2 linked regions of the Drosophila melanogaster genome follow. The protein of the gene in region 1 interacts with the protein of each later gene in a pairwise test. Each region holds a gene or a part of one and is shown on either strand. Other genes may lie near its edges.

Region 1 (4,908 bases):
TGTCGTGCATACTGCATGTTGCACCAGAAGCACACGTTGCATCGGAATAGATGGCTCATAAATCCCAACTGACTGGAAACATCTAATAACTATGTCAGCATGTGGCTCTCAAACTGTAAAGCTGGCACGCACCTAAAAATGAAAATGGAAAACTGGGCGGGTTTTAACAAATTGTGGATCCATAAAGAACTCATTGAATTTGACAGGATTTCCTAAATCAATTCTTTATTTTATTTTAATTTCGTGTAAAATCACCCGTATAAAAATGCAAGAAAATTGGTAAAAAAGTGGAATTTATCGCGTAATGCAAGAGCACGTTGATATTACAGGAAAAACTCGGTAGCATCAGTGAAATTGCATTTTTCGACTGCCTAATTTTCCATGCGAAACCTCCTGCTTCTCTTCATAATAGGAGAACTGGCACTAAAACTGACCTCTGGGGTCGTCATCATTTTTGGCTCACGTTTATGATTGAAAATGTTCGTTTTTCGCAAAGCGGAGGAGTTTTGCATAAATCAAGTCAATTGGGTATATCGAGGAAAGCCAAATGAGTGATGGTTTTGAGTTTAAAACGGGGTGAAATTACATAAACTTCATATGTGAGATTATTTCTGGAAAGGATTTCAAATATTACAAAAAAATTTGGGTAAAGTCGAGATATTATCTTATTTGTAGACTTAGACAAATGTAATACGAAACAATGTGTTTAGGTTCGAAAACAACGAATTGATGTAATGATTTATGTAAAAAAACTGTACATTTAGGTACAATTTAGGAATTTATCTTATGATTTATGTAAAAAAATTGTACATTTAGGTACAAGTTTATTTGATGTATCTTAAAATGGTCATAACTTGCATTTTTTAAGTAGCCAATTAGCAAGTTTCAAATCGTTGTGGACCAATAAAAGTGGGCAAAAAAACACTTGGACTTTCAGGTTTTTTGCAATAAAAACAAAACCACAACTTAAGGCGCCTTTGGAAATAAGCCTTGGATAACAAAAACAGCAAACGAGGAAATTGGGAACAATGGACCGGCAAAGAAAAGCTGTCGCTCCCCGAAGCAACAACAACAACAGCAACAGAGGCTATGGATTAGCCACACGTGGCCCCCCACACTACCTCCCAACCACCCACTTTGGGTCAGGAAAATGAAAAACGATTCGAGCGCCAGAAGAGCCAAAAGAAATCGGCGAAAAAACCTTAAGAAATGCTGGAAAAATACCCAAGTGACCCAGAACTTGTGCAAGAAAATAGTCAAGGTGCTCGAGGGGAAATTGAAGGGGGAGGAGTTCTGCGGAGGCGTTTGATTTTCCTACGCTTTTGATGTTTTCCAACTAATGACGAAAGCAGCCAGCAAAAAACTCGAATGTTCGCCGAAAATGTTAGCCTGCTGTTAAGAGAAGCAAATAGCCCCAACATCCGGCGCAATAAATTTCGAAGAGCGGTTAACGGTCGACTTCGAACTACATGTTAGCATTTCGTGTTGGAGTCTGCGCTATGTTCTGATTAGAATGTCTAATTTGGAATGTCAATGAACATTTTAATTAAATGTTAAAGTTTTAAATATCGTGTTTTATTTCAGTACTGATGCAGCTATTGATATCAAGAGGCATAGCGCAGAATAAAAAACTAAAGTAAAATAATAAACATTGATTGCATTTGCAATTTTTAAATTCGTAGAACATTTTTCTAGCCAGGGCGCAATCCGTCATACAGAACTCCAATCAGAACTAAGTGCTGCCTCAAACCTCACGGCACAACCGGTTAACAGAAGCCGCTCTTTTATCGAATTCGAACTCGCTCTCTCCAACTAGAGCTGTAAGCCCAACGTTATCGGCCTGTAATCGAACATTTGCCATCTCTAGTGCGCTCTCCAACGATTTTTGTTATTGCTTTTTCAACCGCGATTCGTGCAGCATGTGTGTTCGCGTGATCTGTTAAAAAAATAATGCTTAAAGCACATCGGTAACCGTTAAAGTCGCCGGGGAAAAAACCAATATTGATACTAACGAATTTTCGAATAATTTTCACAAAACGATTTTGTGCGCGATTTTTTCGTCCAGGCTCAAGAGGAGTGCGAGCGAGAAGGAGCGAGACAGTCGACGGTGGCTGCGTGCAAAATAACGGTGCACCGAATTCGACCAAATAAAAATTGAAAATAATCGCCGTGATTATTAGAATTTTAAACTGCCAACTGCAGCTAACGAATCAACCGATACGAGAAACCGATCGATGTGAAGTGCAAAAACAAGTAGAAAAATACAAATAATAAAAACAAAAACCGGTTCGCCTCTGCAGCAGCAGAAATCAAAGCCAAAAACGAAAAGAAACAAAAATCAAAGACAGCGAAAGAATTTTTGTTGTTTGGCCGGTGCGTATGTGTTTGTGTGTGTGCGTGCGCGTCTGTGTGTGGGAGTCTGCCAGTGTGTGTGAGCCTCTCGGCAAAGGAGAAAAACGCACAAGTCGGTAGGAAAAAGGCGTACGTAAGGAAAACGAAAAAGAGAGGAAAAAACGCAGTAGGAATTTCTTGTTTCCCCAAAACCGAAAAAAAAAAATCCACGTAAACCCGTTTCCCTGCAAACACACAAAATATAAAAGGTGAAAAAGTACAAAAAAGAGTAATATCTGTGAAATAAACGGAGGCCGCAAAAAGTGGCACAAGTGAAAATTCCTGCGCCGTTCGTTTTATTATTATTTTTCTGTTGCCGTCTTTTTGACAATCGCCAAAAGTGAAAATCAATTTGCGAGAGCGCGCGCGCAAGGAGCGAAAAGGAAGAGAGAGAGAGAGAGTGTGAGAAGGAGAGCGAGGAAGAGCAATCCCGATATAGAACTCGTCCTTTTTCGGCCCCAAAATTACCCAACCCAAAAAAAAGAGAAAGAAAACTGAACGAAAAACTCCCGGAGAAAACAACAACACACAACGATAAACTGCAAAAGTAAACAAATTGCGCCGAAACTAAACGAATTTCGGAAAACTGCAGCCAACGGAAAAAAGGTCAGTACACAGCGATTGATTGGCCGGAAAATTAACTAAATTAAAGTAAAAACCCTCGAGTGCCAAAGTGGTGTTGAGCAGCAAACACCTTTTAATAGTCCCCCATTTGACCTTCACCCATGGACACCCTCGCAAATTGGTAGCACCAAAGTCGGGCTAGCAGTTAACCCTTACCCTTGATCACCGTTAATTGGACCCCCCTCCTCAGACTATCATGGTCATGGTCAGCAGGTTGTGAAAACGGTCATTTATTGAGGTGCGTTACCCTTGCATTATATAAGGCACGAAACTCTTCAATGAAAATCTAATTTCAAAAGGATTTTAACCACTGTAAGAAAAAAAGTTAAAAATGTATTAAAATATCGTATAGAAATGTAAAGGTATTTGTGCTTTAGATAAATGTAACAATAAAAAGGTGACATCACTATCTGTAACTATTATATTGAATTATTGCATTTGTCACTGCAACTGATGATTTCAAGAAAATCGTTAAGACCTACGACAGTTATTATGAAGCAGCTTTTCTGCAACTTAAATGACTGTTACTTCTGTTCTATGGCAGTTACCGCCTTCTTCGAGTTGCACACACTCATTCGAAATAAATTCGGACTGGCAGCACGTTTACCATTTGGCTGACTCTTTCTTTAATCGCACCTTTTTATGGGCCCACCGTTATATTGACCTTCACTCGAGGGGTTCTGCTCTTGAAGAGGCATTCATAAATTTCGTTTTCTGTGCGAGTGATTTGGAAATTGCACGCTTCCCTTTTTTTTTGTTTTGGAGGGGCTGGCTGCTTCCCCCTTTTTGTCCCACCAATTGCAGTTATCTTGGTTGTTTTTGTTCAACTTTACTCATTTGTTCATAACGTGACTGGTTCTTGTTGTGGCCTATTGCTTTTTGGTTGTATTTGTTGCTGCTGCAGCTATTGTTGTTGTTGTTACACAAGCGTAACAATAAAATTTCAGACTGGCCCGCCATGAAAATAGTTAAAATTTTATATGTGCTGTTATGATCATGTTTTATCTGATAGTTGTTCGCTTGTGGCACGTAACACGGTTTGTTTTAAACTTTTTCGTTGATTTGCAGGCGGCATGAAAGGGGCAAAGATATATGTACATATATGTTTATATATATGTTTATATGTACCTACATATATCACGTAGATCAGCGAGGGGAGAACTATCTGAGATCCAAGAGTTGGGTCAGCGGCTGCTTTTTGTCTCGGTTACTTAATGTGGATGCGGCTTAATTGTTCCAAAAGATCAGATATCTTGTGCTGCGCCTACAGTTGTGTTGAGATATAATCGTTACCCAGAAAATAAACATAAATATAAAGGTTTTCAGAAGAGCTTTAAAAATCATATACAAATCAGAAGAATATACAGTGCATTTAATATAATTTATTTGTAGAGCATTCCCATATAATTTTTTCTTGGAAAACGTATAAATTTACATTGAAATATTTATACTACTAGTTAATGCCAAAATAATATAAATATTAATGCTCCAAAATTTGCTCATGCTCATTTATCAGTCAGAATAATTTCAAAATGTAAATATTCTGAATGTTTTAGTGTCACGTTGAATTTAAGACGTGATCTCATGCTTCCCTACTCGAACCGAATACTTGCAGCTCTCACTGTTAACTGTTTGCGTGATCTTACTTAATTTCCTTACTTTGTGTTATATTCATTAAAAGATTTGACAATTTGCAGTGATAAATCAAAAGAAATCTGAACTCCTCGTGGCCTGCAAAGAGTGACATTTTTGCTCAACATTTTGACCAACATTTCGCCCAATTTGCATAAATTTCAAGCATTTGATTCATACGAAACGCTCCAAGTCGAGAAATTCGACTTTTATGGGCAAACTCCAAAAGGCCCAGGCAATTTCTGATTTATTTAATGAGCA
Region 2 (5,298 bases), on another chromosome or scaffold:
GAATTGGCGTGATTGAATTTTTGTCTGTGATTCCGCATATGGGAGATACTTAATGCTGTAGCTTCTTCTGCATAAAATCAAATTCTTTATGTTAATTGAATTTATAAAGTAAATTCAATTAATTCATACAAAATGTCCATTCTATGGAGTCCGGATATTTTACTACACACACACACGTTCGCTAGCCATTCCAATTGAAATACCCAGCATAGTGGGAGAAACATGTCTAATGAGACTTATCATAGGCGCCGCATTGATAACAAGTTTTCTACACCAACACATACGCACACTGTCGCAGGCGGGGGCACACGCACGGCATACACACTCACACGCGCACGCACACAGGCACAGTACTTTTTCTCTTTCGCATAACTGGCATATTTTGTGTGCCTAGGTGTGTCGCTGTCGCATTTTGCAATCACATATACCCGAAACAGGGTTAAACGAGCAGCAGGTGCGAGCTTACGCCGCTTTTAAATGCGTTCCAATGAGTTTTTCACCTGAAATTTCGGTTTAGTGGGACGGCGTTCGTGTGAAAAAAAAGAGGCTGCGAGAAAATCGCCTCGTACTCCTCGTTACGCCGGAACACGTACCCCGATCGATCGCACGGCGGCTGGGCAGCAGCAGCAACAACAACTCTGGCCGCTTTTTGCCCTTCGCATAGGTGTCCCGGCTGCTTTTAATTAAATAAACCGAATTCCAAATGGATTTTTTAACGATGAGAAACTGGTCAGTGTTACCAGATGGCAAAACGGCTAAAATCCGTAAACCAACCCTGGTTCTTCACTACAAAATGTACTACATTTCATGAATTTTTTCAGTGGTTCTATTTCGTCCAAAAAATATAGAAGTAAAATGTGTTGTTTTAAAGTTTTTGTGGCAGTCTATTTATGTTCAAAGCTAAATTATATGCAAATATTATTGCCGATCAGGAGTTGCCATTTGACCTATCGTCAAGTATTAGAAAAATGTGTACTAAAACTAATGCTGCCACACCGCACAAAGAAAACCATATCTAACAAATATTCAAACTACATGTAGGCGCACAACTAGACAGTCAAAAAAACTTATCACTTTTATCTGAAATTATTTTGTAACTTCCGTCATTTAAATGCAATGCTTCAACAGCTACACATGTTTTTGAAAAAATTACATTGTTATGGTGCCTTACAGACAAACATATTTAGTATTTATTTATCTTAATTAATTTGCAATTCGCTTTACAGCGATTAAATTATTCGATAAGAATCATTGCTCTTATACGAGCTCATGTGTTATCGATGCTTGGAAGCTAATAAATAAATCATCGATGGTGTTGAGCCAGTAAAAACATCGATAGCACCATACAAACATCGATTTTGGTTCCAGCTCTAGACATTTGTGTTTTATTTTTTTTAACCGTGAAATTCATAAGTAAAACCGACTAGCATTGGTATAAACTGCTGCGGAAGCACTCAGTCAGCGCCAAAGAACGAATACAATGGGGTAAGACCGATGGGCGCGGCCAAACCGGCCTAAACCTGCCGTTTTTACTGTGGGAAAAATCGACGCCGAACTAGCTGACATCTCCCCCCTATGATGTTGTTGTTGTTGCTGCCGTTCTGTGTGTAGCGGGCGGCGTAAATACATACATATATATGTACACAAACATACACCTACACACGCACACGCGTGGGCAGGCCAATTACATGTGTGTGGGTGTGCAGGTGTGTGTGACTGTGCAGGTGTGTGCGTGCGTGTTTTCCGCCCGAGAATCAAAAATCACAAGCAAGGCTGCGGAAAAGGCTTAGCACATAATGCAATTTAGTCGGCGGTCGACAGTCGCCAGCGATAACGGGAAGACACAAGTTATAGAGCTCAGCGAACGATGTCGGCGGATAGGTAATAGATAAGATATATATATGTATATGTGTACAAATAAAGGCACTGGAGGCTACCACGGATACGGAATTGATTTGATGGGGGCCCTGCGCCCCGCAACAAACTGTCATTGCATCAGGCCAGATCGCAAAAAACAAACATATATCGACCTACTTTATCAAATAAGGACCACGAGGATTATCCTGGGACTTAAGGACTACTAATTATAAATGCATTACACAGTGCCTGTTGACTAATAAACCACAGTAAAAGAATGCTTTGCCATAGTTTACTCACACGAGCACAGAAGCACAATTTATTGCCTGCTCTAAATGGAATTTTTAATTAATCACACGCTTGTCGCTTTAATCCCTTTATGACCCTTAGCGAACAACCGATTTTCACCTGCCAGGCGCACGTCTTCCACATCGATCCGAAGACGAAGCGCACCTGGATCACGGCCAGCATGAAGGCGGTCAACGTTAGCTTCTTCTACGACAGCTCGCGAAATCTGTACCGCATCATCAGTGTCGAGGGCACCAAGGCGGTGATAAACTCGACGATCACACCCAACATGACCTTCACCCAGACCTCCCAGAAGTTCGGCCAGTGGAGCGATGTGCGGGCAAACACGGTGTACGGCTTGGGATTTGCCTCAGAGGCGGAATTGACCAAGGTGAGTGGTTAGCATATGTCTCACATATTTATATACTAATCATATCGCTCAACAGTTCGTAGAGAAGTTCCAGGAGGTCAAGGAGGCCACCAAGAATGCCATGAAATCGGCCAACGGATCGAATGCCGTCACGCCCACCACCTCGGCGAACACGTCGCCCATTTCCGGGAGAGCTGTGGGCTCCATGCAGAACGACAACACAGCCATCGATCCGCACACTGTGGAGCCGCCCAACATGAGCAACACGAATACCCAGAACGCCAATCCGGACAGTCCTTCCCACAAGCTTCTAAATACCAGCGATGTCAAGGCGGACATCGGATCGGCCACGCCCTCGCCGCAGCCCACTTCAGGGGTAACTGGTGGCGGTGGAGTGACCATCTCGTCTGGCGGAAGCATTGTGGGCATGCACACGGGTCCTGGAGCCGGCGCCACCGCCGAGCAGCAGCTTAAGTACGAGAACGAGCGTCTGAAAATGGCACTGGCACAAAGGTAAGCAAAGCGTTGACCGTCATTGGCTCAAGGCAATAATGCCTTCTTTTCAGCTGCGCCAATGCCAAGAAATGGGAAATCGAGCTGGCTACCTTGAAGAACAACAATATACGGCTGACTAGTGCTCTTCAGGTAAGCAATAAGATAAGCTCACATTTATTGAAACTGATCGTTTTTGGCCTTTTTCTCCCAAAGGAATCAACTGCCAATGTAGACGAATGGAAGCGCCAGCTGCACACTTACAAGGAGGAGAATATTCGCCTCAAACGAGATATGGAGCAGCTGTGCGTGGGCGGCGGGGTTGTGGCTGCAGCCGGAGGAGGCGCCACAGAGGACGAACTGCGTCGTGAGGTGGCCACGCTCAAGGCGCGGACAGAACAACTACAGAAGGAACTTATGCAACAGGAACTTGAGCTTAAGTCGGCCAATATTAGCCTACGTGAAAAGTCCAATGACCAAACGGTGGGTAAAGCATAATAATCATGTTGAGTAATTTGCTAATGAAACTTTGTTTTTAGCTTGCAAAGTTGAGTGAGGTGAATGGTGTGTTTGCCAAGCATCTTTCGGAGTTGTATGGGGTGCAGAAGGATATGGAGAGTCTTATACAAATTGCCAAGTGCACTTGAGACACAGAGTTGGCGTTTATGCGAAAGGTTTGCGGCACATTGCCTTTTGAGTTTCGTCTTGTTGATTGGCGTTCTTTACAGGTTTCAGTGCAGGAACAGACTACAATGATTAATACTACAACGACATCATCGACAACAACAGGAAGCACGACAAGTAAACGTTATTTAAGCAACTTTCCAACCGCAGAGGCCGAGAGCACGCTCTCCAACGTCACCTCGATACACACTCAGCTGCAGTCGTCGCTTTACGAGACTCAGAACATGCCGCAGCTGAAGGCCTTGGACAAGCATTCGGCTTTGCTCCAAGAGCTTCATCAGCGGCAGGCGGCACCCAGGCGCAACTCAGCCTCTGCGGAAGCTGCTGCAGCCGGCTCTGGTGGAGCCAAAACAGCCACCATACTCGTTTCCAAATCAAAAACCAAAACTGGGCTGCCCCTGTTGCTGAAGAATTCCATTAACAATTAGAGAAATCCCAAAAAGAAAAACAAATATCGCAGGTAGAGAGAATTTATTCAGTGGCATTTTTGTAATCTTTATATTGGTAGTTTGTATACAAGGACAACGTTAAGAGTCAGCCATGGTACTTCCCCAATCCCCACGCACCCCCTCTTTTTGTTAACATTATTGGATATTTGTGTTTCCTTATCTCAAATTGAATGTATACCTATGCCCAGTATTTCGTCAAAATTCTTCGAGTCCTTGTGACACTGATGTAGGTCCAGATTGATTGATTCTCGTGCGCAGTAAAGTGCAATATACATTTATCTCTAGTATGTAAATGTAAACGATGATATTATGTGCTCTATACACTTTCAGCTGATTGTTAATTAATTTTTAATAAGAGCTTGCGATCGAATATAACCCGAAACTCATTTCCCAAAGAGAAAACCCAAGCATTTCTATTGAACAAAAGTCACAAAGATTATTTTATAAATGTGTCGAACTTTTTATAGTATTTTTAGATGGAACCTTTTGTATTCTCTAAATCATAGGCGTAAAATTTAAAAACTTATTTATTGAATTGTATTTCGACTCCATTCTATGTCAAATCCGCATCATCACAATGCTCCCGTTTATTGCAGTTATGCACTGATTTACTAACATTATACATGATATTTATAAATATATAAATTAACGTATGCATAACTAACAATGACTTAGACGACGAACACACTAAGAAACCAATATTAAATATAAAACTAAAGTAAACGAAGTGAACATTTTATAAATGGATTGAAGTAATCCAAGTAATTCACGAGACTAGCAAAGTAAATGAATAAAAGTCAAGTATGTGCGTCTGCGGACAACTAGTATAATACATAAAAAAATTATTAAAATTAATTTATATTTATCGAACCGAATTAAAAACGCAACTCGAATGAAGACAGCAATAAATACATAACAGTACACAATCTCCGAAACACGATTACCCGCTAAACGAATCGGTTATGAAGCGGTAATTTCGAACGTTTGCGATTATATTCAAGCCATATTGTTATGCACTTGCTGCATAAATAACCCAGTTGAGAAGAAATAAGAATTAACGAAAATGAAATGTTGAACATACAAATTTAGCAGTTAAAAATAAATAACAAATGAAAATATAAATAAATAAATAAATATATAAAGTAAAGAACAATTTAA

Evidence for each region. The genes of interacting proteins can lie anywhere in the genome.
Region 2: the proteins of Prosap (region 1) and homer interact in a two-hybrid assay, tested with the Drosophila melanogaster proteins (one study listed by BioGRID).

What each region holds. Positions count from the first base shown.
Region 1 is NT_033778.4:14,137,878-14,142,785, reverse strand, and holds the start of Prosap (prosap), read left to right. Parts: upstream 1-1,883; 5' UTR 1,884-2,997; intron 2,998-4,908.
Region 2 is NT_033779.5:6,719,380-6,724,677, reverse strand, and holds homer (homer), read left to right. Parts: upstream 1-1,747; 5' UTR 1,748-1,867; coding exon 1,868-1,881; intron 1,882-2,238; coding exon of another isoform or gene 2,239-2,247; coding exon 2,248-2,536; intron 2,537-2,591; coding exon 2,592-3,028; intron 3,029-3,081; coding exon 3,082-3,160; intron 3,161-3,223; coding exon 3,224-3,490; intron 3,491-3,546; coding exon 3,547-3,654; coding exon of another isoform or gene 3,655-3,681; intron 3,682-3,735; coding exon of another isoform or gene 3,736-4,119; 3' UTR 4,120-4,782; downstream 4,783-5,298.